4 linked regions of the Pelodiscus sinensis genome follow. The protein of the gene in region 1 interacts with the protein of each later gene in a pairwise test. Links are inferred from orthologs where the notes say so. Each region holds a gene or a part of one and is shown on either strand. Other genes may lie near its edges.

Evidence for each region.
Region 2: the proteins of TSC22D4 (region 1) and ZMYND10 interact in binary tests that used the Homo sapiens proteins (3 or more experiments, as listed by UniProt). The two-hybrid records come from large-scale screens. The link is inferred for Pelodiscus sinensis from reciprocal best matches to the Homo sapiens genes TSC22D4 and ZMYND10.
Region 3: the proteins of TSC22D4 (region 1) and MAD2L1 interact in binary tests that used the Homo sapiens proteins (3 or more experiments, as listed by UniProt). The two-hybrid records come from large-scale screens. The link is inferred for Pelodiscus sinensis from reciprocal best matches to the Homo sapiens genes TSC22D4 and MAD2L1.
Region 4: the proteins of TSC22D4 (region 1) and NRBP1 interact in binary tests that used the Homo sapiens proteins (3 or more experiments, as listed by UniProt). The link is inferred for Pelodiscus sinensis from reciprocal best matches to the Homo sapiens genes TSC22D4 and NRBP1.

Annotation. Positions count from the first base shown.
Region 1 is NC_134734.1:8,743,873-8,751,700, reverse strand, and holds the start of TSC22D4 (TSC22 domain family protein 4), read right to left. Parts: upstream 3,020-7,828; 5' UTR 2,535-3,019; coding exon 1,956-2,534; intron 893-1,955; coding exon 738-892; intron 1-737.
Region 2 is NC_134721.1:45,026,795-45,033,959, reverse strand, and holds the start of ZMYND10 (zinc finger MYND domain-containing protein 10), read right to left. Parts: upstream 3,005-7,165; 5' UTR 2,786-3,004; coding exon 2,691-2,785; intron 2,110-2,690; coding exon 2,001-2,109; intron 944-2,000; coding exon 827-943; intron 1-826. Other genes in the region: GATOR1 complex protein NPRL2, read right to left, coding at 3,765-3,832, 5,641-5,783, 6,277-6,394, 6,819-6,912. UniProt on the Homo sapiens protein: Plays a role in axonemal structure organization and motility. Involved in axonemal pre-assembly of inner and outer dynein arms (IDA and ODA, respectively) for proper axoneme building for cilia motility.
Region 3 is NC_134715.1:36,054,715-36,061,661, reverse strand, and holds the start of MAD2L1 (mitotic spindle assembly checkpoint protein MAD2A), read left to right. Parts: upstream 1-3,945; 5' UTR 3,946-4,093; coding exon 4,094-4,166; intron 4,167-4,367; coding exon 4,368-4,514; intron 4,515-5,532; coding exon 5,533-5,653; intron 5,654-6,520; coding exon 6,521-6,624; intron 6,625-6,947. UniProt on the Homo sapiens protein: Component of the spindle-assembly checkpoint that prevents the onset of anaphase until all chromosomes are properly aligned at the metaphase plate.
Region 4 is NW_027465901.1:438,067-445,419, forward strand, and holds the start of NRBP1 (nuclear receptor-binding protein), read left to right. Parts: upstream 1-4,344; 5' UTR 4,345-4,490; intron 4,491-6,586; 5' UTR 6,587-6,607; coding exon 6,608-6,820; intron 6,821-7,353. UniProt on the Homo sapiens protein: Required for embryonic development. Plays a role in intestinal epithelial cell fate and proliferation, thereby involved in the architectural development of the intestine potentially via the regulation of Wnt-responsive genes.

The sequences.
Region 1 (7,828 bases):
CTGGCACTCTCTAATCAGGCATGATTTTAGTTAGTCAGATGTCCTCTTATGCGTGTGGCCAAGTTTCCCACAGTCCCATACAGTTTATTTACAGCCACCAGTCCTGGCTCTCTGTGTTCGGTGCTGTTATTTAGTTCTAATTTGCCTCTAAATATCTTCTAAGAGCCCAGTAAGCAGGGGAAGTGTTGGTGATGCTGCTAGATAATATTGACCTCCTATTGTTTGGAAAATTCTCTGGTTCGGCACCAGTCAGGTCCCAAAAGTGCAGGACTAGAGAGGTTCAACCTGTAGTTTGTTATTGTAGAGTCTACTAGAAGGAACGTGGCAATGGTTTGCTATTGGAGTATTTCTATGATTTACACAAGCACACACACACACAGGCCTGCCGCCAGCCTGGCCCATTGCCAGGATCCCTCCCTGTTCCTCCCCCCAGGCCTGTGGGCCCCACACCATCCCCTCTCCCACTGCCAGGATCCTGCCCCCAACTTCCCCAGTGCAGGCAATACAACTGAGTCACATCCGCTGCCAGCCATTCAAATGCAACTTCCCCTCCCCCAGCTTCCTTCCTCTTCTACTGCTTGCATCTCCCTCTGTCCCATTCAGTCCCCGCATACTGCTCCACCACATGGCAGCCCCTTCACCAATCGTCCCAGCACTCCCCCTCCCCCGACCATTCACTGGCAAAACAGGAAGTCCCACCCTCCACCAGGCACACTGGGCAGGAAGTCCCACCTCACCTGTCATCATCGCTGTCCTGGTGTCCCCCCATGGCAAACATAGATCGGGCCAGGCTGAGACGTGCACCAAAAGGGTCCGACGCTTTTCGAACAGGGCTCCCTTCCCGAAACAAGGGGAGGGCTGGGGAGGAGGGGCGGGAGCTTCGCAGTGGAACCTGTAGAGGAGACATCATAATGGAGAGAGGCCAATGAACAAGGTGGAGCAGAAGGGACCCAGGCATCCTCCCTTGCCCCCACATGCTTCAGTGGATGCTGCCAATGGCTCCGCATCCCAAGGACAGCATTGGGCAGCTGCAATGGGGCCTGAATGCCTGGGTTCCTTCCATTCTTTCCCTGCCCACCAGAGCCTGGGGGGCAGTGGGCAGATGAAAATCACCCCTTTTCCGTCATGGTGATGAGAAAGGAGGAGGCAGCCGGGGAGGTGTCAGGGCCCAGAACCTGACCCCCCTTCCCTGGACCATACATCCTGCTGAAGGAATGTCTCTCTGGGACAAAAGGTTAGATTCATGAGATATCTGTGGGTCTGCCTCTACTTTGTGGGGCTGAACTGGCTAGGGGTTCCTCCATCAGACCCATGGCCCAGTCGGCCTGAACCCACCTCCAATGCCAGATGCTTTCAGAGGAAATTTCTGCAATGCACCTCACTATATCACAGCACAGGAGAAGGTGGCCCTCAAACCTTACCCCATTAACTTCCATTACCCCCAGCCGAACTGTCAGCCCAGCCAGCATCCAGTGGTGGGGAGTTCTGCAGGCTGATGCAGCCCCAAGTGGTAGGAGGTCATTGGAATCAGGGTGATTGCAGGTCCAAAGGGAAGAGATGGAGCCAGGTGTGCAAGGAGCTGTCCCACCACTGCTATCTCCTCCCTCTCCAGCCACCACCCGTTTACTACCCCATGCGCACCAACAACCCTCCACCTCCTCACCAAATGCTTGTCAATCCCCCTACCCTCTGGGGAGGGTATCCTAGTGGAGACCCCACCTATCTGGTGCAGGGGAGACATGGCTCCTAATATGGTTCAGAATTAACCCACAGGACTACCTACTGCAGGATTTCCACTGGGGATCTGATCGGCGAGGGGCAGGTAGAGTCAAGACTGGACTAGCCCACAGGCTGATGCAAAGGGCCAGATACAAGGTTAGATGGGCCTGTGGGGTGGCTTTCTACCACGTGGGTCTCCGTGGTCCCATGAAACCCAGGCATCTGGCCCCCTTTACCTTGTGCCTCTCCTCCACCTCCCTCCGGATGCGCTGGGCGAGGCTCTGGGGCAGCAGCAGCTCTTCCACCCCCACGCCCGATTCCCCAGGCTCAGCACTGGCCCCATCACTCTGAGCTCTGCCCCCTGGAGTTCTCTCCCCACCTCCCAGCGAGCGGGGCAGGTGCTCGCCAGGCAGCGTGGGCCAGGCTGTGCCCTGGGAGTGGCCATGTCCGCCCCAACGCGCCAGCGGGGGGCTGAAGTAGCCATGGGGCTTGGGGGCCAACCCAGCAAGCTCCAGGCGGGAGTCAAGAGACTGCGGGTGCCGGGCAGCGGCCAGGAGCCGCCCCACCACCTGGTGCTCCGGGTCCCGGTCGTAGAAATCCAGGCAGGTCCAGCGTCCCCGTTTATATGGCTCCCCAAGGCCCTGGTCCAGCTTCACCACCCGGAAGCGGGAGGCAGCGGTGCTGCCGGGTGGCACCGAGGGCCCGTTTCTGGGCACGGTTGCATCCTCTGGCAGCTCCATGGCGGGTGGCGCCTCCTGCTGTTCGTACTCAGTGGTGATGCTGGTGATCTGGAAACTGCTCTTCTTTCTGCTCATGGTCCTGCTCCCGCGCCAGCTCAGCGGGGCCTAGGCAGCACCGGGCCAGCACCAGGCTCTCGGGGCGGTGACATGCCTGCGGGCAGCTGGGCAAAGGGGGCACCACCAGGGGCAGGCAGGGCAGCCCCTGGGGTGCTAGCTCGCCTGGAGGTCAAGGGTCCTGGGGCAGGTTACAGGTCATGAGGAGCACACTCCCAGGAAGGGGGGCGGTTTGGGGGGGGGCTGCTGGCATCCCCGCCCCTAGGCCCCCACCGTGCTGGGGGCAGCACTGGAAAGTTCCCTTAAGTTGGGCGCGTGCTGGGGGCAGGGGGGGCTGCAAGGTGCCCGGGGGTGGAGGGCGCACTTTTCCGGCAGGGGGTCTGGATTCTCTCTTCTGTGCCCGGGGAGCACCCCCCGCCCCAACTCCGGCCAGCGCCGCCGCCTGTTGACAAGTCCCCGCTCCAGGAAGTCCGGCCCCCGCCCCGACCAGCTGACTGCTCCCCCCCCCCGCCCCGTTAACCCCTTCCTGCTGCAGCGCCCCATTCCCGCCCCGCCCCTTCCTTTCCTTTCTCTTCCCTTCAGTGCTGCAGCGCCCCGGCCTGCCCGCCCCGCGGCAAGCGTCCCGCTGCATCTCCCCGCCCCCAGCACCGCCTCGGCCTGCCCCCTCTCCCCGCCCCTTTAACACTCTCCCTGCCGCAACCCCCACCCCGTTACCCCTTCCCTGCTGCAGCCCCCCCGCCCCATTAGCCCCTTCACTGCCACAACCCCTGTAACAAAGTGGAGATTGTAGTCACCCGATTGCTTTGTTGCACGTGATTTCTACTGTGCTGTACTAAGCCCTCGTGTGCCTCAGTTTCTCTGGGCACTACACCAATATCTAGACGATGGGAATTTCGGTGACAGCCTCCCCCACGAACACAATAGCTGATACTTTCTGCAACCTGAGCCTGGGACGGGGGTGTGACCAGGTCACGCCCTTTGTCCGAAGAAGCCGACCAAAAGCTGGAGGCGCGTCAGACTACAGGGCTGATACAGGCTGCTGAGGGTGTGAGCGAGTCTCGCTGGCTTGGGGTGCTAGGAAGGGAATGGGAGCCCTTGGCTCTGAGCCTCCTCTCCCCAGATGGATGGTGCTGGCTGCTTCTGGTTCCTGTGCTGACAAGTCTGTTCTGTGCTGTGTCCCTGTCACCTAATAAATCTTCTCTTCTACCTGCCATCTGAGTCACATCTGGCTGTGGATGGGGGTGCAGGGCCTGGTGGTTCCCTTCCCCTCGATAACAGCCCTGGCCCCGTTAACCCCTTCCCTGCCACTGCCCTGCTAACCCCTTCCCTCCTGCATTTTGCCTGGCCCCTTAACACAAGAACTTATCCCTGCAACAAACCCTGTTGCCAACTCTGTCCATACATCTACACAAATGTGCCAAAGGTTAAATGGACTCAAATGGATCACAAAGCAAGGTAACATACAAAAACCCTTAGAATATGTTAATCTCCCTGGATGCTCAGTAACAGATTTAAAAGTAGCATCCTTCTACCAAAAAAACTGCAGAAGCAGACTACAAAGAGAAACAGCACAGCTGCAAAATTCATTTGCAAATGTAAGGATCAAATTAGAAGTGAATAAGGACTTAGAATGGTTCTCCTACTACAAAGGCAATTTTCTCCCTCCATATTCACAGCTTCCCCATCAGCTGCTGGGACTGAGCACATCAACCCAGACTGAACTGGCCTCTTTAACACTGGTCTTACACTTGATAACGAAGGATGAGTCTACACTGTACAGTTATTCCAAAATAAGCAGGTTGTGTAGAGTACCCAAACTCCCTTCTTTTGATGTGCTAGTTCATCTGTATATATCCCTGCCTCTATTTTTCCATTCTATGCACCTCATGAAGTGGGCTCTACCCATGAAAGCTGATGCCCACATAAATCTGTTAGTACTTAAGGTACCACAGGACTCTGCCTTGTTTTTACACACATACACCAGCAGGAAATTGTCACAAGCTTGAAAGATGCTGCTTCCTCCTGCTGGTGAATGAGGGGAAAGCACCTCCCCTCCATGCCACTGGCCATGCCAAGCCCACCTAGATTCTAGGAGACAGAAACTTACTCAGGTAAGGGGACCTTATGCAACTGGCCATCCCACCCCAGAGGTGGCTGCATCCCAACACCAGGCAAGAGGTCCTTGTGAAATCAGCCACCCCACCCCAGAGGTGGCTGCATCTTAGCGCTGGGCGAGGAGTTCCTGTGTAATAGGCCACCCCACACAAGAGTTGGCCCCCTGGTAACCATCTGTTATGCCCTAGAAGTGGCTGCCTCTCACCACCATGGAGGTGTCCCTGTGTAACAGGCTGCCCCACTCCAGAGGTAGCCACATCTCAGTCCCAAGCAAAGTGGCCATGTGTAACCCCCTCCTCTGCCCCAGAAGTGGCAACATCTCAGTGCTGGGAGAGTTGTTCCTGTGTAACCGGCCACCCCACTCATGAGGTGACTGCATCTCAGTGCTAAATGAGAGGTTACTGTGTAACTGACAGAAAAGAGGAGACTAAGGTGGGATATGATAGAGATTTATAAAATCCACTGGTGTGAAGAAAGTGAATAAGGAAAAGTTATCTACTTGTTCTCACAACATGAGACTGAATGAGGGGTCACCAAATGAAATTAATAGGTAGCAGGTTTAAAACAAACAAAAGGAAGTATTTCTTCACACAACACATAGTCAATCTGTGGAACTCCTTGCCACTGGATGTTGTGAAGCTCAGGACTTTAACAGGGATCAGAAAAGAGTCAGATAAAATCATGGAGCATACTTATTAGCCAGTGTCCCTAGCCTCTATTTGCCAGAAGCTGGGAATGGGCAACAAGGGCTGAATCACTTGATGATTCCCTGTTCTATTCATTCCCTCTGGGGCACCTGCCACTGGCCACTATTGGAAGATATGATCCTGGGCTAGATGGACCTTTGGTCTGACCCAGTCTGACCATTCTTATGACAGTTCCATCCCACAGGTGGCCACATCTCAGCCCCAGATAACCAGCCACCCCCACATCTCAGGCTACTTTTAGACTACAATGTTTTATTAGAAAAGGGTATGCAAATTGCACTCTGCAATTTGCATACCTTTTTCTGATAGTTTTGTTGGAAGAGGCTTTTCCAAAATTTGGCCCATCCACAGTGGGCCAAATTTCAGAAAAACCTATTTTGGAAGAGCCCATAGAATGAGGAAGACAGGGCTTCTGAAAGAGTGTATGTGCTCTTCTGAAAAAAAAAAAGCGGAAGAGCAGACACATTCCCTGGATGCAGCAGAGTTTTTCCAGGATATCACGGAAAACCCACGTCGCCTAGACGGAACCTCAGTGCCTGACAAGATATTCCTGTGTAAACGACTTCCCAGCACTAAGATGCCACATCTCAGCTCCAACCGGGAGGTTCTCTTGTAACCAGATGCCCCACCCCACAGGTGGCCATGTATAAGTGCCAGGCCAGGTGTCCCTGTGTAACCATCCCTCCCGCCCCACAAGTAACTGCATCTCAGTGCTGGGGGAGGGGTCCCTATGTGACCAACCACCCACTCCAGAGAGGGCCACATTCCAGCTCCAGGCGAGGGGTCCCCTTGTGCCCCAGAGGTGGCTGCATCTCAGCCCTGGGTGAGGGTTCCCTGTGTAACCAGCTGTCCTGCCCCATCTGTGGCCACATCTCAGCCTAGGCGAGTTGTCCCTCTGGGTATATCTACACTACATGGCTCCATCAACGGAGCCATGTAGTGTAGACATACCCTCTGTGACCAAACACAGACCTTCAGAGGTGGCTGTATCTCAGCTCCAGGTGAAGGGTCCTGGTGAAACTGGCCACTCCCCATGCCCAGAGGTGGCTGTATCTCAGTATTTGGTGGTGGGTGCTGTAAGAGCTGTTACAGCAACACAGGGTGTGGTCTCCTGCCCTGCTTGGTCTTTGACTCTGGAAAAATAGGGTTCATGGTCCAGGAAACAGGGACACATGATGCCCCCCTCGCAGGCCAGTTCGCAGGCTCTGGGGATTCCTGGGATGATCAAATACAGTTCTCCGCCTATTGTGGGGTGGCAGTGAAGGGCAGCAGCTGGGTGGGGAGGGTGCAAGTCGGGAAGAGCACTGGGGGTGGGGGATCTGTGAGTCAGGAGTGAAGGGCACCAGTGGAGGAGCTGTGGGGGGAGTGAGGGGCACCAATGGAGGTGCTGTGGGTGTGGGAGTAAAGGGCACTGGTGGGGCGTGCTGTGGAGGGAGTGATGGGATACTGGTACGGGGATGTGGAGGGCATCAATTGGAGATTGCAAGGGGGAGTGAGGGATACTGGTATGAGGGCTGCAGTTGGGGGGAGTGAAGGGCATTGGTGAGAGGGTTTTGGGGGGGAGTGAGAGGCACTGGTGGGGGAGCTGCAGGGGGAGTGAGTGGCACTGGGGAGGATGCGGGGGGGAGTGAGGGGCACTGGTGTGTGGGGTGCGAGAGGAGTGAGGGGCACTGGTGAGGGGCTGCAGGGGGAGTGAGAGGCAGTGGTGTGTGGAGTGCGGGGGGAGTGAAGGGCACGAGCGTGTGGGGGGAGTGAGGGGCACTGGAGTGTGGGGTGCGGGGGGAGTGAGGGGCGCGGGGCGGTGCGGGGGGGAATGAGGGGCACTGGTGAGGGGCTGCCGGGGGGGAGTGAGAGGGACTGGTGTGAGGGGCACGGGGCGGGGCGGGGTGGGGGGAATGGGGGCACTGGTGAGGGGCTGCAGGGGGAGTGAGGGGCACTGATGGGTGGGGTGCGGGGGGGAGTGAGGGGCACTGATGAGGAGCTGCAGGGGGAATGAGGGGTACTGGTGTGGGGGTGCGGAGGGAGTAAGGGGCACTGGAGGGTGGGGTGCGGGGAGAGTGGGGGCACGGGGCGGTGCGGGGGGGAGTGAGGGGCACTGGTAAGGGGCTGCGGGGGGAGTGAGCGGCACTGGTGGGTGGGGCGTGGGGGGAGTGAAGGGCACGGGGGTGCGGAGGGAGTGAGGGGCACTGGTGGGGGACTGTGGGGACAGTGAGGGGCACCGCCGTCTCTCTCCCCGGCCTCCCCCCCCCACGTTTCTCCATCCCCGGCTGCGGGGGGGCGGAGGGAGGCGCCGCGGGTTGGACGCTGCGTCAGCGGCAGCGGGATGGGGCGAGCGGAGCCGCGGGAGCCGAGCCGGGCAGGTACCGGAGCGTGCGGGGCTAGGCAGGGGTTGGGGGATGTGTGGGGCAGGGAAGTGAGCTGGGTGGGAGATGTAGGGGGCTGGGTAGGGGGCTGGAGAATGTGGGGGGCAGGGGAGGGGTCTGGGTGGGGGAT
Region 2 (7,165 bases), on another chromosome or scaffold:
AGATCACAGCCCTGAGAACTTTTGGTCATTCATGGTTCTATGGCTGGTTTTAAAGGGGCAGCAGTTACCCCAGTGCCCTGGCCAAAGTCTAGGAGAGGTGATCATAGTCTATTGGTTGTCAAAATTTCCACTGTCATCTCAACTGGATAGCAGATCCTTCCTCATTCCCTAAGTTTACGTTGTGTTCTTATATGCTAAACAGCTGCAATGTTCCACCACATGGGTGGCTACCTTTCAGAAGGGGGGGGGGAAGGAGTGATCCTTTGTAGTCAAAGCATGTAGTCAACCTGTGGAACTCCTTGCCAGAGGAGGCTGTGAAGGCTAGGACTATAATAGAGTTTAAAGAGAAGCTAGATAAATTCATGGAGATTAGGTCCATAAAAGGCTATTAGCCAGGGGATAAAATGGTGTCCTTGGCCTCTGTTTGTCAGAGGCTGGAGAGAGATGGCGGGAGACAAATCGCTTGATCATTGTCTTCGGTCCACCCTCTCTGGGGCACCTGGTGCCGGCCACTGTCGGCAGACAGGATACTGGGCTAGAAGGACCTTTGGTCTGACCCAGTACGGCTGTTCTTATGTTCTAAGTTCTTTGGGATTCTTGAGAAGAAAGGTCTTATGTAAATAAGGGTATAATATTAATGAGAGTTTTGCCTGTGAAAATGATTCACGTGCAGCTACTGCAGTGAAAGCCTTAACGGGCTATGGACAAGGTGTCTCGTGAAGCAGGCCTGCTGGAGCAGAAGTGCCATGCAATGCTGACATCCTAGATCATGGCAGTGCACTAGAATATCGTGCAAGTTTGTTCTCCAAGAGCTCTCTGTACTCACCACCAAGTAGATGGGAAAGGTGCTTTTTGGCTTGAAATCCTCCAGCTGGCACAGCACAGGGAACACCTTGTGCTTCCAGATCTCCACAGAGATCAATTCCTCAATGAGAATAGGGACCTGGCCAGAGGAGTAAAGCACAGAAAGTGAAACCTATCAGGCAAGAGAAAAGGAAGAGAGAAGCCAAGTGCCGTAAGAGTATTTTAGTCCTAGAGAAGAGGATGCTGAGACACACAGGTTTGTTGCACTGATCATCTAGGTACTTTCATATGCCTCATCATCAGACTATCTGCTTCATCCATTGACAGTCATTTCTGAAATCAGTATCTGCCCCCACCTTTCCATTGGGTGAAATGGGACAGCATATCTGGTGCAGGGCAAGGAGGGATTCAGAGTTCAAATAATCTATTTCCTAATATAGCAGCAACATTTCAAAGGGACCGAATTTGTAACTGAGGTAAGGCTCCACTGATTTCAGGGTTACATCGGAGCCAAGTGCAGCCCTTGATTGTATAAGCAAGACCCAGTTTGTTTAGCAACAGTCTGCTCTGGTGCAACCAAACCTCTATTTGGCATTCAGTTCAGGGGTCCTTTGTACCCAAAATGTAGACAAACTGGAGGAAACACAGGGGCTGAGCAGGGAGGAGAGAACAAGAGCCAAAGGTGTAACAAACTGAAACTAGAAAATAAGGCACGCATTTTTACCAAAGGATGGAACAATTTATCTAGAGAAGTGGTGGATTCCCCATGACCTGAAGTCTTTAACTTACAATTAAACAATATGTGCTAGCTCAGCCATGAGATATGGGTTTGATGCAAGAATCACAGTGGCCTACCTTAATCAGGATGTCAGATGAGATAAGAGTGGTCCCTTCTGGACTTAAAATCTATCTATAATGTGGCTAAATGACTGAGGCCCAGGGAGCAGTATGGAAGAGTGCAGATGCCAAGCACAGAGAGAACTTGATTAGGCTCGTACAACGGAGTGCTTTGGACAACAGAAAATCAGGACTGCAGCGCAGGGCACATTTCCTGACTGAGGGGTGAATCAGGCTGAGGAGTCACCCCGCAAAGAGGCAAGAGCTCACTTGGCCCAGGCACTGTAGGGGGATGGGCTTGTGGAGCTTCCCTCGTGCCCAGGGTGCACAGTGGTGCCCCAGCACCCACAGGGGCTCACCTTGGCATGGCTCACCAGCAGCTCGAGCAGGAGCTGCTCCTGGCCGGTGGAGGCGCTCAGGATGGCCTGCATGTTCAGCTTCTCCAGGGCCTCGTGCTGCCGCAGCCACCTGCAGAGGGGAGCCCGTGTCGCCTGGCCATGGCCTGCCTGGGACCCAGCTGGGACACGGGTCCCCCTCCGACAGACCGACCCCCGGGAGGCTGCTCATCAGATCCCCAGAGAGTGGGAATGGGGCACCCCCCCGGGGCTCCCCCACCCCCGAGGAGCAGCCCCCCTCCCGGGACTCCCCCGCCCCCGAGGAGCAGCCCCCCCCTCCCGGGACTCCCCCGCCCCCGGGACTCCCCCGCCCCCGAGGAGCAGCCCCCCCCTCCCGGGACTCCCCCGCCCCCGAGGAGCAGCCCCCCCCTCCCGGGACTCCCCCCCTCCCGGGACTCCCCCGCCCCCGAGGAGCAGCCCCCCCCTCCCGGGACTCCCCCGCCCCCGAGGAGCAGCCCCCCTCCCGGGACTCCCCCGCCCCCGAGGAGCAGCCCCCCCCTCCCGGGACTCCCCCGCCCCCGGGACTCCCCCGACCCCGAGGAGCAGCCCCCCCCCTCCCGGGACTCCCCCGACCCCGAGGAGCAGCCCCCCCCCCGGGACTCCCCCGTCCCCAGGGCTCCCCCCTCCCGGGACTCCCCCGCCCCCGGCTCGCACCCCTGGCCCCCGGTGTCCCGCAGCGGGCCGCTCCGCAGCGCCTGCACCAGCGCCTCGGCCTCGCCGGGCAGCAGCAGCGCGGCCGCCTCCGCCATGGCCCACGCGTCGCCATGGAGACCGGGCGCCGGCCTGGGCGGGGCCAGCGCGCGCCCGGCTCCGCCCCGCGAGCCGAGTCCCAGGGCCCCGCCCCTTGCCTGGCAGCGCGCGGGGAGGGCGGGGCTTGCAGTCAAACTCTCCAGCCGACACTCGGGGGTGGCTGCCGCAGGAGCATCCCCACCCCGGCCACGCCCCGCTCACCCCCGCGGCGGGGGGAGGGGCACAGGAGCTACCCGCCCCCAGCTCTGAAACAATCTAGGCCAGGCTCCCACTTGGAAAAGTGCCTGAGAGCGGGGCAGCGCCTCCCCCCGCCCAGCCCTCGCCCCGCCCCCACTTTCCATCCGCCACCGCGCTGGGAATGCACCGACGCTTCAAAGGCCATTGGATCAGTTTTATTGCCACTGACTCACTCCTCTCCCGGAGCCCCCTTTACCGAACCCGGCTACTCCGCTCCCACAGCCCCCTCTGCTGCTGGATCGGGGCAGCCTCACTGGGCTGCGGGGAAAGCGGCTAGGGACAGAGAAGGCAAAACAATCCGTGCTTCTGAGAGTGGAAACCACCCCCCTTCCCTGTAACACACAGACTCAGGCTGGTCCCCACGTGGGGGTCTCTGCGCCCCAACTGAACACCTTCCAATTCCCATGACAGCAGTGACGAGTTCGTGCGCGACCAAGGCTGGCCCAGACACCGTGGAACCGATGATACCAGCGGCACGTGGCAGAAGCCAGCTGGCTCGCACACGCTTTGCACTGAGATGCCAGAGCCATGCTTTGCTATTGTGGAGCAATGCAATTGCTCTCCGAGCAGCGTTAGCGGAAATACGCCACCCCCCTCTCCCCCACAGGAGCCCAGTCACTTGAAAGAGCCACAGTCTGGGCTCTTGGAGCCATCTCCAAGCGGTGACCAGCTCCGCCTTCCAGCCCCCGTGTTCTTCTCTCCACGCGGCAGGACGCTGCCTGTCCCCGTCCCAAGAGAGATTCACTTCCAGCAAACAATGATGTTGGGATCGTTCTCCAGCCTCTCGTCCAGCTCTCGGTAGCTCATGCCTGAGGGAGAAGCAGAGAGCAACGGTGTCAGAACCAGCCCATCTTTGGCACTAATGCAAGTCACTGTTACCACCCATAGGGCGAGGCAGGCACCAAGGCGAAGTGACTTGCTCACAGCAGAACATCTGGATCGTGCCGGATTGAGAGCTCCTGTAGACTTGCTTTGATCTGAAGCCTGGCCCAAGTTAAACCACCGATTCTGGAGTTTGCTTCTCCCAGCCTGGTCACCGGAAAGCAGGGCTGAACCAGAGATCTGGCCCTACGGTGTGATCCTGGCTAGCTCGGCGATTATCACTTCTATGTCAATGGCCATGTCAGACAAAAGCAAGAGGCCATGGAGACTGGCACTATGCCAGTGTTCCCCGTCCTACTTCACCAATCTCGCCTGATCCTCACCTCCAGCACACTCACTGACTGCAGCCTTCCCCTACAACGCCTCCCCCCGACGCCCAGCACGTGGTCTTCCATTTCCGTTTTAGCCCTTCCCTGTCTCGCTAGTACAGCCGGTAATCGCACTGGCTCAGGCATCCCCTCCTGCACCGTCACCTTGCCAACCCTTCTCTTAGGCTGCTCCCAAGCAGACGCTCCAGCACACCAACAGTCCAGTACGGGAGACTCTCATGACTTGCAGAATCATTGTTCACAGTTCCGTGTATTCTCGGGGCTGGCCTGGCCTGGCGCGGGTGGGGGATGGCAGAGGCCAGGAGCGGCAGGGAACTCATCACAGCTCCCGGCCCTGGTTCCCCACGGCTATCAGGAGCCACAGCTGAGTTCCCCATGGCTCCCAACCCCTGCAGTGAGTTTGGGAGCTGCAGAGAGCTCCTTGCGGGGCCTGGAGCCGCAGCGGCTAGTATTTGGGGATTTCGCCATTGGCGGTGGTACCAGGAACGTGTGCACTGCGAACGGTAGTTTTCCTGTAGCCGAGATGTGGGCAGCCATTCATTCAGCGGGGATCTGAGCCCACCGCATTCGTGCTGTACGTGGGGGGTACCCACTCTTAAATCCAAGTCTCCAGAGGGAAAAACTCTCATCCAGTCCCCTCCTGAGGTGCTCAGCTCTCCAATCCCCTCCCTCTGCAGCACAGCCCTTTCCATTGGGCCTCGCAGAGACGGCCAGGAGCTGCTCTTTCTAGCACACGGCAGAACTGTTTGTTCTGCATCCGCTCCGGGCTGCAGGCATCTATTCGCCGTGTGCAGCGCTGCCTTCGAACAGCAGCGACCCTACTGCCAACGCTCCAGGGTTTTGCTGTTTCAACAGGACTCAAAGGGAGAGGAACACAAATATCCAATGGGTTCTGAAAGGATCTGCTTCGCCGGATCCTCTTCTGGGGCTAAGCTCCCACCATCAGGCTGCAGCAGGGATGGGAAACGGCTCTCGGCTGGGTTTGTTACGAGGCCAAGCTAGGCAATGGCTGCCAGTTATTTCATTTGATCCGGTAGGTTTGTCCAGTGCCTGGCAATTCCTGCATATTGCTGCAACTCCCACAGCAGCACAGAGCCGAAGGCAATGGGGCCCTGACCCTGGCTCTGAGGGCCAATGCAAATCAGGGTAGCGAGCCTTACGGCCAGGAGTGGCCTGAGGCCGGCTGCGGCAGCTGGCGCCCCAGGAGCAAGTTGCGATCGGCACCCCTGCCTGCATGGCCGTGATGTCATCATCAGGTGCCCCAGGCCGGCGGCACCCTAGGCTACTGCCTAGGCTGCCCAGGCTCACGGGCCGCCCCTGCTTACAGCCCTTGAACGAACACCCCTCCCCTGCTGCTGAGCCATCCCTGGGCTCTCCCCTCTGGCTGCACAGCCGGGCGCCGGTACCTGTTTTACAGCAGATCTCATCGTAGCTGTGACAGCCCGTGTACAGTCGTGCCGGGTGACTCTTCTCGTCCCGCACTATCTTCACAGGGTACTTCTGGAGCCGGCGGATCAGGCCCTTCATCAAACCGAACTGGATGAGCTTCCTGAGGGGGGAACGCACTGCTCTCAGAAGGGCTGCCGGCCCGGGAAACCATTCACCTGCCGCATGGGAGCTCAGCCCCCGCCCAGCCTCTCCTGCCGCTTGAGCCAAGCCAGAAGGCTGAACGGGCGGCCTGCCAGCAGGCTTGGGGGCTACAGGTTGAAGAGAAGGGCCTGACGACATGACCCAGCTGGGGCTGCTGGGCTGGCAGGAAGTGAACCGAAATCACAGTAGGATTCTGAACAAGGAAGCTGCTAGAGCAAGGAGCAAAGTCAGGAGACCTGGGCTCTGCTCCTGCCTCTGCTGCAGTTTCACTGTGACACCCTGGGCCAGTCACCCTGCTGCAGTGCCTCAGTTTCCCCATGAGTAAAGACGGGTGAATGATACTGAGGGGAACGCCCTGAGCTAGCCCTGCTACCAAGCCCCTGGCTGCCCGTATCACTGCACCCCTGGCATTCATCCACACTTCCAGGGCCCCCTCCTTAGCAGCCTCTGACCTTTCCTCCACTCTCTGGAGCTGCAGGGTGTAGCGGCAGATGAGGTCTCGCACGGTCGTGCCGGGGCTCAGCCCGCAGTAGAGCTGGAAGACGTCTCTGAGACTGGCTCGCTTGTGGCCTGTGGGGAAGAGAGAGACCGCTGCCGTTCCTCAAGACAGAACAGGGATTGCGCGAAGGAAGAGGCTGCCCTGGAGAGGGACAGGACCTGGCCTCGCTCTAGGCTCCTCGAGGCCATTCCCACGGCGCCCACAGAACTACAGAGCAGCCTCGTTGTGCTCTGTAGGTTACGTGGCTGGGATACTGAGCCTGGTTAGCTCCCCTTGAAGTTCCTCCCAGCCATCCCTGCTACACCACTCAACCCCTTTGTCAGAGCATTGACATGTTAATCAGCCTGGGTTAACCTCCAAGTCCCTGCGTGAGCAAAACCTAGGGAGAAGGAACCCCACGGCTCAGCACAGGCTCTCAGTCCCTCCTAGATCTCTGCCGGCATATCCTGGGCCAGCACACTCTTCTCACATGCGCCCGGTTCAGGCCTGCTGTACCTTGTTTGGTGACGTAAGAGAGACATTCTTCTTGGAGGCATTTATCATCCACCAGATCCTGGATTTTAGGCGTGGTACAGTACACATTGGAGTACTGGGAAGCAATGGGGAGAGAGAGGAAACACCTGTTAACCAGAGGCAGGAGAGTTTTAGCTCTGGGCCTAGAATTTAAGCCAAACAATACAAATAATTTGGTGGGGCCAGCTCAGGAGAAGCAGCTGCTACACAGACCCACCGCCCAGCTGTGTGACTGGCATGTGACTCCGCTGTCCTAGAAGCAGCCTCTATAGCGCACAGGGTACAACTGCACGGCAGAAGCACAAGATTCTTCCCCTTCCGAAATCTGG
Region 3 (6,947 bases), on another chromosome or scaffold:
GCCCGTATGGTCTTTCAGGCGGCTTTAGACGTAGCTGATTCAGCTGCATGGACAATGGCACCAGTTGTTATGCGATGGACTGTATGGCTAAACGTGTCGGGCATTCCACCCGATGTGCAAACCTCCCTTCAGGACTTGCCCTTTGAAGGAGCGGATCTTTTTTCATATCAAACGGACTCCAAACTGCATAGTCTGAATGATTCCCGGGCAACTCTTAAGTCTCTGGGAATCCATACGCCCGGTCCACTTAGGCGACCCCTCAACCCCAAGCCTGCTACAAGGCAATTTCAGCGGGGTTTTACCTATGACCGCAGCAGAAGGCAGGGCCGTAATTTTTTTTAGAAATAACCCGCCTACAAACCGGCGCAGAGCTTCTAGACCAACTTAAGATAAGGGCCCCACTACGTATGCGGGTCAGTGCCCCAAATCACCATTTTGAGGGCACGATCGAGGATAGCATACCAGTCACGTCTTCTTCCCCCCCCTTTGGTTTTCATTTATCCCGTTTCCACCAAGCCTGGGTATCTATAACATCAGACCAGTGGATTCTCAGCCTGGTGGCATGGGGCTATTCTATCCCCTTTACTTCCCCTCTGCCCCCATCTCCTCCCCACTCCCCTTCCTCCCTTTTCAGGGACCCCCCTCTCACAAAACACTGCTGAGGGAGGAGGTGGTGAAGCTCCTGAATCTCGGGGCAGTGGAGCCCGTCCCGGACGAGTTATGGGGGAGGGGGTTTTACTCCCATTATTTCCTTGCACCAAAGGCAAAAGGGGGATTTCATCCTATTCTAGACCTCAGAGGACTAAATACATTTATAAAGAAGACAATGTTCAAAATGGTCACTCTAGCATCAATTATTCCCTCCCTACAAAAAGGAGACTGGTTTGCTGCCCTCGATTTGAAATTTGCATATTTCCACGTCATGGTGTTGCCCTCCCACAGGAAGTTCTTGCGGTTCACAGTAGCCCAGGACCACTTTCAGTTTACAGTCCTACCCTTCGGACTCACCACAGCGCCAAGGGTCTTTACCAAATGTATGGTCCCGGTGGCAGCTGCATTGAGACGCCACGGGGTATAAGTCTTCCCTTACCTGGATGACTGGTTGATTCGTGGCTCATCTCAGGACCAGGTAGCCACACACGTTTCCAGGAGCCTATTCCTGCAGTTGGGCCTTATACTGAACAAGGAGGAGTCCATGATGGTCCCCTCCCAGACTATAGAGTTTGTAGCAACGTTCCTGGATTCCACCACAGGAACAGCATCCTTGCCCATGCACAGGTTCCAGACTATGCAGGCAATGATCAGGGACCTTCACATTTTTCCAATGACCACCACGCGCAACTGCATGCGCCTGTTTATTTAAGAAGTACTAATAATCTTTAACTCAAAATAGAAATATGAGACCAACTGCCTCATACTGCAAAACTACCAATATTAAAAACTCGAGTTTTATTATTATTTTTCATTGTTTTTTCCTAGGTTGATGGGACCCTCAGATAACTGGAATTTTTAGATAACCGGAACACCCTAATCCCCGATGAGCGTGCCAGATAACACAGGTTTTACTGTATTCCAAGCCACTCAGTAGGAAGCTAGATAGGCCTCCCTTCCTCACTCTCAAATAGCAGATGATTCAGTATCTTACTTGGACTTTACTTCAAGGCAAATTCCTTATTCAGATAAGACAATTTGGCATCAGACTATGTGATTTGAGGGAGGTTGGGATGAGCAACACAGTGTATTGGGATGAGCAACACATCCCCCTTCGCTGGCCTTTCTGATGACATACATTGGGACAAATATCTATTTGTCTCAAACCAAGATATGTATAGGACACAGTCCAAACAATTCTAGAATAAACACACCATTTCCCAGAGGTTACCTAACTGCTCCAGTAGGTGCTGATTTTAGGGATGTAAAAACCCATTAAAATAGTTAACTGATTAAACAATTAAAATTACAGTGCTTAAACAATTAATCATTGCATCACAGGTGACACCTGTTGCAGCCTTCATGAATAGGGTCCTGCCGGTTGAGCTACTATGCCACAGGGGTGGAATGTGGGGCTGTTCCTGTCCACTGTGCAGAGGGTGGGTGTGCTGCAGGCAGGGGGGCTGCTCCGGCCCATCCTGCAATGGCTGTGGGCAGAGGGCTTCTCCGGACCACTCTGCTTCAGCTAGGGTCCAGCCAGCCTATTGCAGCCACAGGCAGAGTCCAGCTGTGGTCCTGCTGTGGGCAAAGGGCTGCTCTGGACAGGCCATTTATGCAGTTACTGGGTAAGCAGGTCGATAAGACTACTGCTTCTTTTTCTGAACCCATTTTTTCTGCTGCTTCTTTTTCTGAACCAATTTTTCCCCATATGGGGAAGCTGTACGTTCACTGTATTCCAACAGGATTGAAGACATGTTCCTTAATTTTCTTGCCCTTTTAACAGCTGTACTTTTACTTTTCCTCTATGGAAACAAATTATGAATCTTGCATATAAAAAAGGGGACGAACTGAATGTATTCTGGCTGTACTGTAAAGTGACAATTACAGAACCCAGTGACAGGCACTTGGGAGATGGAAAGAGACCTATTGTTTCCTCTAATGCAGCTTGTAGCTATGAGCCTTGTGCAGCCCACAGGGGTTTATATGTATGGCCCATGAGAAATTGTGTTTACAGCTGCCCATGCACAGGGTTGCTAGATTCCAGTGGTATGTGTGCATCACTTTTTTCCTATTGGTATTACTGAAGTGGCATACACATAAAGGGCACATAAAATGATGTTTGTGCTTATTGCACACAGCATTGACTAGAGAGCTGTGCACTCCCTTTGCATCCAGTCAAAGTGCTGCTATAAATTATAAATTAGGTCATCCCACAAATTCTAAGTACACAAGTGCAGATAGCAAATCTACCCTATTCCAAGGGACCATCTTGGTAAAACAATCTTGCAACCCACTCAGATGAATGAGCATCACTCATGCAATCCGCTCACTAGCTTAGGTTGCCCAGCACTGTTTTAATCCATCCCCGAAGGACCAATAATATTGTTAACATTTGCATTTAGAACATTTAAGGTTTGGAAGTTGCCAGGAACAGCCCCTCCACCATCACTTTCCTTTAATCTCCTTCTATAGCCCAATACATGTCCCTCTAAAGAAATTCAACCCCACCAGCCTGAGTGGTCTGCTCATTTTCATTGCACATTTGCATTACTGCCAATTGCACCGTCTTCTCTATGCCGAACAGCTCCTTTCCCCCCTCCAGCGGATAAAACTTTTCAACCACGTGTAGACTGCATGGACTGAAACACCAGGAAGAAATAAAGGCATCCCAGCCACAGCATGGTGTTGAATCTCTGCCCATCCTAATAGCTATTGGTGGACCTGTCCTGCGGGAACCTTTCTTGAGCGGTAACAGCTAATTGACACACCGAGGTTTTGCAGGCATCGTTGAGATTGTTTTCCAGCTGCGTTACTTTTCATTTACCGTACAGCCTCAGCTGGCTGGCTCTGACACACACACACACTCCCATAAACTGGAAAGCCGCCCTTAATTTCAATTCCTGGGGAAAACACCGGCCCCAGCGCCGGGGATCACACGTTAGGCGGCAGCTGCCCGCGCTTAACGTTTGCTTTGAGAAACATGGGGGATTCCCCGGGGTGGGGAGGGACTCGAGTCCCAGCCCCCCCCCCCCCAGCACGCGCAGGGGATTGCAGCCGTGCAGGGTCCGGGCGTGTTTGCACTTTCGAACCTCCGCGTCCCTCGCGGTGTAGCGCACGGCCCGCTCGGGGGGGGGGGGGGGGCGGGGAGTCAGGGCACGCGCTGCCCCTTCCCACACAGCTGGTCGGCGCGGCGCCCCCGCGAACGCTCAGGTCCCAGCGCAACCCCGACCGCTTCGCCAAGCCCGCCAAGACAGAAAGTTACTGCGCCTGCGCCCAAGGGCGGCGGTTCCGGGAGGGAGGAGCGGCGGCGCTTGCGGGAAGTGCCGCCATTGGGCAGCGCCTGTGCTTCGGCGCGAACGCTCGGGGCGGCGCGCGCCTATGAGGCGGCGCGCGGGCAGCGCCTGATTTGAAGCGGGCGGCGGGGACGCGGTACCGCCGCGCCATGGCCAAGCAGCTGAGCCGGGAGCAGGGCATCACCCTGCGGGGCAGCGCCGAGATCGTGGCCGAGTTCTTCTGTGAGTCGGCGGCCGGGCGGCTCCGGGCCGCCGCACTGGGGGCGATGAACCGAGCGCGGGGGGAGGGAGCCTGGGGGCCGCGGAGGGGCCTGGGGGCCGCGTCTCTGCCGAGCGCTCCGCTTTGTGTAACGGGGCGGGATGCCGGGGGCGGGCTCTCTACTCGGGGAGTCCCGTGACGAAGCCGCCTCTCCTGCCTTTCAGCTTTCGGCATCAACAGCATTTTGTACCAGCGCGGGGTCTACCCCTCGGAGACCTTCACGCGCGTGCAGAAGTACGGGCTCACCCTGCTGGTAACCACAGACCCGGACCTGAAAAACTACCTCAACAACGTGGTGGAGCAGCTGAAAGGTAGCGCAGAGCCAAGCCACCGAAATGGGCGCTCGCTTTGATCTCCTGTATCTTCGGCGCCTGGCATAGGTCAAAGCTGTCACGAGTCTCGAGTGCGACATGCATAGGAACTGTGTGATAGTCCATGTTTGTTTATATTTACCCATCCTATTTATATATGTTGGGGAGAGTCTTATTTTGGGAGACCTGGAGAGGGTCCAGCGTAGGGCAACCAAAATGATTAGGGGGCTGGAGCATATGACTTATGAGGAGAGGCTGAGGGAGTTGGGTCTGTTTAGTCTGCAGAAGAGAAGAGTGAGGGGGGATTTGATAGCAGCCTTCCAACTTCCTGAAGAGAGGTTCCAAAGAGGATGGAGAGAGGCTGTTCTCAGTAGTGACAGATGGCAGAACAAGGAGCAATGGTCTCAAGTTGTGGTGGGAGAGGTCCAGTTGGATATTAGGAAAAACTATTTCACTAGGAGGGTGGTGAAGCACTGGAATGGGTTACCTAGGGAAGTAGTGGAATCTCCATCCCTAGAGGTGTTTAAGTCTCGGCTTGACAAAGCCCTGGCTGGGTTGATATAGTTGGGATTGGTCCTGTCTAGAGCAGGGGCTGGACTTGATGACCTTCTAGGTCTCTTCCAGCTCTATGGTTCTATGATTCTATCCAGTCCTCACTAAGGCAAAGTAGTTTCTTGCCCTTCAGTGCTCAAATGTGAATTTCTTAAACAGGTTACATTCTCTTAGTATGTATGTTCAGCTTGCCTATTTACATAGCCAATGTCTGTTGTGTTTTTATATTTCTGAATTCGCTATTTAGTTGTGAAGTGAACGTATACTTTAAGGTTTGTCACTAACTTATTTAGGATGTTGACTCCACATTAACAGCTTTTCCACAGTGAAACTACTAGTGCAGATAGTAATGTGAGATTTAATGACAGCTCTCTTTTTTTTTATATATATATATGTGTGTGTGTGTGTGTAGTAGAGTGATCTCCGTTATCTGACTGTAGGGAAATTTTTATTTTTCTTATTTCAGATTGGTTATACAAATGTTCAGTACAACGGCTGGTTGTAGTGATCTCTAGCATTGAAAGCAGTGAGGTTCTTGAAAGGTGGCAGTTTGATATTGAATGTGACAAGACTGCAAAGGATGAAAGGTAATGCACTCAAAATTACACTTGGGCCCATGAATGCTAAATATACTATTTATATATTTTTGTCAGTTTCTAAGGTGCTACAAGACCATTGTTTGTTTGTTTTTTTCAAAATTACACTGTTATAAATCCTTCCTGTTGGTTCATGCTAGTAGTCGATTAGATGCGAGTGTTAAAGGCCCTTTGTATTTATAGGCTGTGCTGCAACATTTAAAAAACACTCAGGTGCAGAGAGAATACACCAGAGCAGAAATCTTTCACAGCATTGTATAGTTTTCAGTTTGCTGGTAATTAACTAGTGTGCTTCATTCTAAATCAAATGAAAAACTTTTGATCTCAGCTGAATATATAACTCCCATTTACTTTAAAAGAAGCTGTATATGAAAGATAGAATTTTCCCCCTTTTTTAAAAAAATTTATTGTATAAAGCTGTTATTTTCTTCAGCAACTATTTCAGACTTCAAGGTAGTATTGATTGCTACTATTCTCCTAAATTTCTCATATTGAGAAGCAATTACTTTGGTAGCAGTATTATCCCATAAACCAGTTCTCAAGGAAATCAAGACAGAGGCTGGTAGTCTTAACATTGTGAGGTCTCATGGAAGAACAATGAATCAAAATCATAAGCTGTCATTTTGGTTATATTTTTCCAAACCTTGATCATCCACTTTGTATTTCACTACATAGTATTTGTCCATTTGAGAGAGGGGGGGGGAGCGCGGGGGGTGTGTGTGTGTGTGTGAAGGAAAATTGTCTCTATTGTATAGCAAGAACAGCTTTTAAACAATTTAATGAAGAGATGTAGATACAGAGAAATTTTCTGTTATAACAAAAGCTTTTTTCTATATTGACAACTTATTACTCATGTAGTGTACCAAGAGAGAAATCTCAGAAAGCTATCCAGGAGGAAATTCGATCTGTTATCAGACAAATAACTGCCACTGTAACATTTCTTCCTTTGCTGGAAACAGCCTGTGAGTATTCCAGACTTTTGTGTGATTAATGGAACACTAACAACTCTAGAAGAAAATGTCTTTTAAACTTGAATTGGAACTTTAATCTAAAGGAGACAGCTACCTTTTTAACTATGAACGGTATACTGTTCATGCAGACTTGAATGACAAATCTATATCAAAATGAAGGATTTAAAAAAAGACACCTAATCACGTCCATTTCTTCTGCAATTTTGTAAAACATTCTGGCTACATCTACACTGCAGGCTTTTTGCATGAGAACTGTTTTGCGCATGAGCATGTCCACGCTGCCATGTGCTTTTGCGCAAGAGCATCCATGGCAG
Region 4 (7,353 bases), on another chromosome or scaffold:
CCGGCACTCCTGATAGTCTGGCATCAAAATGGCAAGAGCCTAGTGAGTGAGCTTCGGCAAAAAATGAGTCACAAGGTAACAACGGCAGCAGCTGAACTGAGCAAAAAGGGTATAAAAGGGTTAAAAAAACTAAAACATTACAGTATACTGTATACAGTATGTACAATAAAAAGGGTTAAGAACACTTTATATACAGTATATACTGTATACAGTATATACACAACCAGCTTATAGTACCTCCTGATACTCCGGCATATCTGATAATCCGGCACCACCTTGGTCCCATAGGTTCTGGATTATCGGAAGTCTACTGTACATCCAATAAGTTCTTGGACTGCATTGGAGACAGTTTTTTATTCCAGAAGGTAGAGAAAGCTACTGGGGGGAAGCTGTTTTTGATTTGATTTTAACAAATAGGGAGGAACTGGCTTAAAATTTAAAAGTGGAAGGCAGCTTGGGTGAAAGTGATCATGAAATCATAAAGTTCATGATCCTAAGGAATGGTATAAGGGAGAACAGAAATATAAAGACAATGGATTTCAAGAAGGCAGATTAAGAACATAAGAACGGCCGTACTGGGTCAGACCAAAGGTCCATCTAGCCTAGTAGCCTGTCTGCCGACAGCGGTCAGCACCAGGTGCCCCAGAGAGGGTGGACCGAAGACAATGATCAGGCAATTTGTCTCCTGCCATCCTTCTCTAGCCTCTGACAAACAGAGGCCAGGGACACCATTTGTATCCCCTGGCTAATAGCCTTTTATGGACCTAACCTCCATGAAATTATCTAGCTTCTCTTTAAACTCTATTATAGTCCTAGCCTTCACAGCCTCCTCTGGCAAGGAGTTCCACAGGTTGACTACACGCTGAACTTTTTTTTATCTGCCCTCTCCACACCTCTCATGATTTTATAGACCTCTATTATATCCCCCCTCAGTCTCCTCTTTTCTAAAGTGAAAAGTCGCAGTCGCTTTAACCTCTCCTCATATAGGACCCGTTCCAAACCCCTAATTATTTTAGTTGCCCTTTTCTGAACCCTTTCCAAGGCCAAAATATCTTTTTTTGAGGTGAGGAGACCACATCTGTACACAGTATTCAAGATGTGGGCGTACCATAGTTTTATACAGGGACAGTAAGATATTCTGGGTCTTATTTTCTATCCCTTTCTTAATAATTCCTAGCATCCTATTTCCCTCTTTGACCACCGCTGCACAGTGTGTGGAAGTTTTCAGAGAACTATCCACGATAACTCCCAAGATCTCTTTCCTGATTTCTCATAGCCAAATTAGCCCCCATCATACTGTACCTATAGTTGGGGTTATTTTTCCCGATGTGCATTACTTTACACTTATCCACATTAAATTTCATTTGCCATTTTGTTACCCAATCACTCAGTTTGGTGAGATCTTTTTGGAGTCCCTCACAGTCTGCTTCTGTCTTGACTATCCTAAACAGTTTGGTATCATCCGCAAACTTTACTACCTCACTACTTACCCCTTTCTCCAGATCATTTATGAATAAATTGAAAAGGATTGGTCCTGGGACTGACCCTTGGGGGACACCACTAGTTACCCCTCTCCATTCTGAAAATTTACCATTTATTCCTACTCTTTGTTTCCTGTCTTTTAACCAGTTTTCAATCCAAGAAAGGACCTTTGCTCTTATCCCATGGCCATGTAATTTACACAAGAGCCTTTGGTGAGGGACCTTGTCACTTTCTGAAAATCTAAGTATAGTATATCTACTGGATCCCCCTTGTCTGCATGTTTAACCCCTTCAAAGAACTCTAGTAGATTAGTAAGACATGATTTCCTGTTACCAAAACCATGCTGACTTTTGTCCAACAAGTTATGTTCTTCTATGTGCCTCACAATTTTATTCTTTACTATTGTTTTGACTAATTTGCCTGGTACTGAAGTTAGACTTAATGGTGTGTAATTGCCAGGATTGCCTCTAGAGCCCTTTTTAAATATTGGTGTCTTGTTAGCTACCTTCCAGTCATTAGGTAAATAAATTAATGGAGATTGCTTATCTCCTAGAACTGGAAGGGACCTTGAAGGTCATCGAGTCCAGCCCCCTACCTTCACAGCAGGACAAAGTACCATCCCTGACAAACTTTTGCCCCAAATTGCCTCCACAAGGATTGAACTCACAACCCTGGGTTTAGCAGGCCAATGCTCAAACCACTGAGCTATCCCTCCCCCCAATACAGAACCTGATTTAAAGGATAGGTTACAAACCACAGATAAAAGCTTAGCAATTTCCCATTTGAGTTCTTTTAGAACCCTCGGATGAATGCCATCCGGTCCCGGAGATTTGTTAACATTAAGTTTTTCTATTTGTTCCAAAACCACCTCTAATGACACTTCAATCCGGGACAGTTCCTCAGATTCATCACCCACAAAGGATGGTGCAGATTTGGGAATCTCCCTAACGTCCTCAGTTAGCTCAGAGAGCTGGTAGGTAACATCCCATGGGAAGTAAGACTAAGGGGAAAAACAACTGAAGAGAGTTGGTGGTTTTTCAAAGGGATATTATTAAAGGACCAAAAGCAAACTATTCCACTGCATAGGAAAGATAGAAAGTATGGCAAGAGACTGCTGTGCCTTAGCCAGGAGATCTTGCATGATCTAAAAATCAAAGAGGAGTCGTATACAAGTGGAAACTAGATCAAATTACAAAGGATGAATATAAACAAATGAAAGTGTGTAGGAGTGAAATGAGAAAGGCAAAGGCAGAAAACGAGTTCAATCTAGCTAGAGACATAAAGGGTAACAAGAAGACATTCTACAAATATATTAGAAGCAAGAGCAACAAGAGTCCCCACTTGCTGCCTGTCTACACTGGCCGCGAGTTCTTGCGCAAGAACAGTGACGTTCTAATGTATGAAATCAGTGCTTCTTGCACAAGAACTATGATGCTCCCGCTCAGGAATAAGCCCTCTTGTGCAACTGTTCTTGCACAAGAGGCCAGTGTAGCCAGGCAACATGAATTTCCTGTGCAAGAAAGCCCTATGGTTAAAATGACAATCAGAGCTTTCTTGCGCAAGAGAGTGTCTACACGGTCAAGGATGCTCTTGCGCAAAAGCACATGCCAGGGTAGATGCTGTCTTCTGGAAGAGTTTTTGCACAAGAACTCTTCCGCGAAAGAGTTCTTGCGCAAAATCATGCCAGTGTAGACGTAGCCCTAGAGTCTAAGGGGGTCCATAAAATCCACTAACTCTGGAACCCCAGAAAAGTAAATCTGGCCTATGGGAAGTCTAAACCCCAGCCCTCCTTGTCCCTTCCCTTCAGCCTGTGGGGCTGGAATGCCAGAGGAGTGAGGTGTCTCAGTTGGGAGCACATCAGTGAGGGCGGAGGGGGAATTTGGATAAGGTTTTTGCTTCTCAATTGTGTGGTCTCCAATTTATTTTTCTGTGGGTCAGTGGCTCCTGACACAAAAAAGGAACCCCCACACCTGCCATATATAAAGAAAACATTGAAACCTTTTCCATTGGCTATGAATTAATATTTTATTTGATTTAAAATGAAGTATGATAAACTAATGTGGGAATGTTAAAGCGCTTAATCTGTTTAATAATTTAGATTTAACCAGTTTCCCTCCTTGTAGCACTTACAAAATGGCTTGGGTGTAATTATCTTATTAATAGTGAGTTTCCATTAGCAACTAATGGTCCACACAAAAGTTTACATTGAGCTAAGTGGTCTGTGTTGGGCCAAAAAGTTTGAAGCCCACTGGTCTAGCCCATCCCTGAGAGCTGTCTGTCCAACCTGCTCTTAAAACTTTCCACTGATGGAGAGTCCATCCCTGGTAACTAATTCCAGCCTTTCACCACCCTGGCAGCTAGGAAGTGTTTCCTAATGTCCAACCTAAACCTCCCTTGCTGCAACCTAAGGCCACTGCCTCGTGTCCCGTCCTCAGAGGCCAGGGAGAACAATTTCCCTCTTTCCTCCCCGCCCCCCCCAGGGGGTGCAAAGCCCCAAAGGACCCCAACTGGCCCCCTGCTGTGTGCAGGGGCCTCCGCCGCCCCCTCGTGCCGCTGCCGGAGAGGGGGAGGGGCAGGGGGCTGCCTGCCCCGCGGGCGGGGCTCTGTCCGCACCCCCGCCCGGGACCACCTGGGGGCGCCCCGCTGCAGCCAGGCTGGGTCCTGCCGCGGGGGCGGGGCGGGACTCGACGGCCGCTCGCGCGCGCGCGCGCCCTGTGACCGCCCCCGCCGCAGCGATGACGCGCCCTCTCCCCGGGGCCGCACGTCGGACCGCGCCGAGGCCCCGCCCCGCGCCGCACGTCAGACCGCGCCGAGGCCCCGCCCGCCTTCCGCCGGCCAAGGGGCGGGTCTGCGCGGCTGCCGTCCAATCGCGCGGCGGCGGCGGCGGCCCGGGCGTGCGCCATTGGCCCGGGCGGCCGGCCTCGAGCAGCAGGCTGCGTTGCGTCGCGTCGCGCGGCGGTTAGTGCCGCGGCTGTCGGCGACGAGAGCGCGAGGCCGGGCCCAGCCCGGTGAGTGTCAGCGGCTGGGGCGCTACGCGGGCCTCGTCCGGCCCGGGGAGGGCGGGGTCAGCCACGGGCCCGCGGCTGCAGAGCGCCGAGGAGGGGGCGGGGCGCTGGGTTCGGGGGGGCTGTGGGGAGGGCCGGGGGGGCGGGGCGCTGGGTTCGGGGGGGGCTGTGGGGAGGGGCGGGGCGCTGGGTTCGGGGGGGCTGTGGGGGGGGCGGGGCGCTGGGTTCGGGGGGGCTGTGGGGGGGGGGGGGCTGTGGTGGGGAGGGCCGGGAGCGGCGGGGTGCTGGGTTCGGGGGGGCTGTGGTGGGGAGGGCCGGGGGGGCGGGGCGCTGGGTTCGGGGGGGGCTGTGGGGAGGGGCGGGGCGCTGGGTTCGGGGGGGCTGTGGGGGGGGCGGGGCGCTGGGTTCGGGGGGGCTGTGGGGGGGAGGGCCGGGGTGGCTGTGGTGGGGGGGGCTGTGGTGGGGAGGGCCGGGGGGGGCGGGGCGCTGGGTTCGGGGGGGCTGTGGTGGGGAGGGCCGGGGGGGGCGGGGCGCTGGGTTCGGGGGTGGCTGTGGTGGGGAGGGCCGGGGGGGGCGGGGCGCTGGGTTCCGGGGGGGCTGTGGTGGGGGGGGCGGGGCGCTGGGTTCGGGGGGGGGCTGTGGTGAGGGGGGTGGGGCGCTGGGTTCGGGGGGGCTGTGGTGGGGAGGGCCGGGGGGGCGGGCCCTGGGTTCCGGGGGGGCTGTGGTGGGGGGGCGGGGCGCTGGGTTCTGGGGGGGCTGTGGTGGGGAGGGCCGGGGGGGCGGGGCGCTGGGTTCGGGGGGGGCTGTGGTGGGGCGGGGCGCTGGGTTCGGGGGGGGCTGTGGTGGGGCAGGGCGCTGGGTTCGGGGGGCCTGTGGTGGGGAGGGCCCGGGGGGGTGGGGCACTGGGTTCGGGGGGCCTGTGGTGGGGAGGGCCTGGGGGGGCGGGGCACTGGGTTCGGGGGTGCTGTGGTGGGGAGGGCCTGGGGGGGGCGGGGCACTGGGTTCGGGGGGCTGTGGTGGGGAGGGTCCGGGGGGGCGGGGCGCTGGATTCGAGGGGGCTGTGGTGGGGGGGGCCGGGCGCTGGGTTCGGGGGGGAAGGTCTCGGCCGGAGCTGGTGACCAGGCTGCAGGCTGGGCAGTATCTGACGCTCACCAGGTGGGACAAAGAGGACACATTATGGTAGCTGGAGCTTGAATGAGGAAGGAGCAATTGGTGCGTGGGGTCTGTGCCCATTAGCCATGGCCTAACTTGGGCACTTGCTGGGCGAGCCCTCCACCCCGCTGTTTTGACAATGCTTGTATAAATTAGCTACTTTTCCCTATAGCACACTCAGCCCCAAATCCCTCTCTTCATTCAGGCTTGTGGGTCTCTGGATCTACATAATTCTGCCCATGGTGCTGTTGGCTGGGTCCCAACCAACTTGTGCCAATGTGCAATATTAACTTTTTGTACATCTGGTAATGTTTAGAATAATGCAACTCTCTCAGCAACTAGATTTCTCCCTCGTAACCAGCTGCTTGCTGTTTAGCCTTTCCAGAAAGAAAGGTATGTGGAATAAATGGGAGAGAGGCGGGTCCTCCACACTGAATGACCCAAAATTATCTATAGGAGAATGGAAACAAACCAAATTGTTTGCACTCCAGTGGATGGATCAGTTTTCAGAAAGAATGTTCTCCCCAAGCTTTTGGGGTGTCTGCAGTACCTATGAACATGTGGGATGAGGTCACTAGTTGGGTCCAAAGCAGATAGGTGTTCAGCAGTTACACAGTTACGTGTGCCAGGCAGTGAGGGCGGCGTTCGGTTCCCCAGGAGCCAGTGTGCTCCAGGAACCGGCTTTTATACTGGCTCCCATCCGCCACCCTGTTCTTGAAGAGCTGGCCCGGGCCGCTGCCTCTGGTACAGGGTGAAGCAGGAGCCGCATGTAACTGTTTGGGTAGTTGATTATCGGTTGAAATGGCTACACTTTTACATCCTTAGTCAAGTCAAACTCTTCTTCCTGAGGGAGTTGACCTGAGCTGGAGTGGCTGTTCTTGGGAAATACCAGCTCAGCTCTGGGTGCTTAACTAGAGGTGGTATGTGAGTGTTGTCATGGTTTCTAGGTATTAGAATTGCATCTCACCATGTCTGAAGGAGAAGCCAAGCAGGTTCCCAGTAGTGGCTCAGACACAAAGCCAGAATCCACATCTTCTGGCCCAGGAATGACCTCCGTGTCCCCACCAGTGACTTCTACAGCTCCACCAGCGCCCCAAGAAGAGGAAGAGGAGGAGAGTGAAGATGAGTCTGAAATCCTTGAAGAATCCCCCTGTGGCCGGTGGCAAAAAAGACGTGAAGAGGTCAGTTCCCAGCAAATGACAGTGGGGCAGGGAACTTGTAATGATCTCTGTTGAGGGAATCAGACCTGAAAAATAGGGGGTCTGATGAGGATCAGAGGTGTGTGAGCTGGTGAAATTTTGTGCTTTTCATTTGAGTATAGGCAGAGTTTGGTGCTGGTATAGAGTTATCTACCCTGGAAGAAGAATGGGGGCATGAGGAAGCGTGGCCTTGATATGAGGAACTGCTCTGTGGTCTACTATCTAGACATGAACTAATCTGAGTAGCTCAGGTCATCCTGTCCTGTGTAGGATGTAAAATTTTGATTGATTGGCTAATTGAATAGTGACTATTCAATTAGTTGATAAGGGTGCCTCCGCCTTTGAAGTGTACCTACAGCTCCGTGGCAGTTGCCACTTCCAGGGCGAAAGCGCTCCATGCAGCACTACTGCTTTAAAGTACTCCTTCCTCTGATAGAGGCGTCAAGGAGGGGGGAAGCAACTAGTTGATTAGTGTTGATTGTCTGATAAGCGTTTACTTATTGGATAGTTGATTA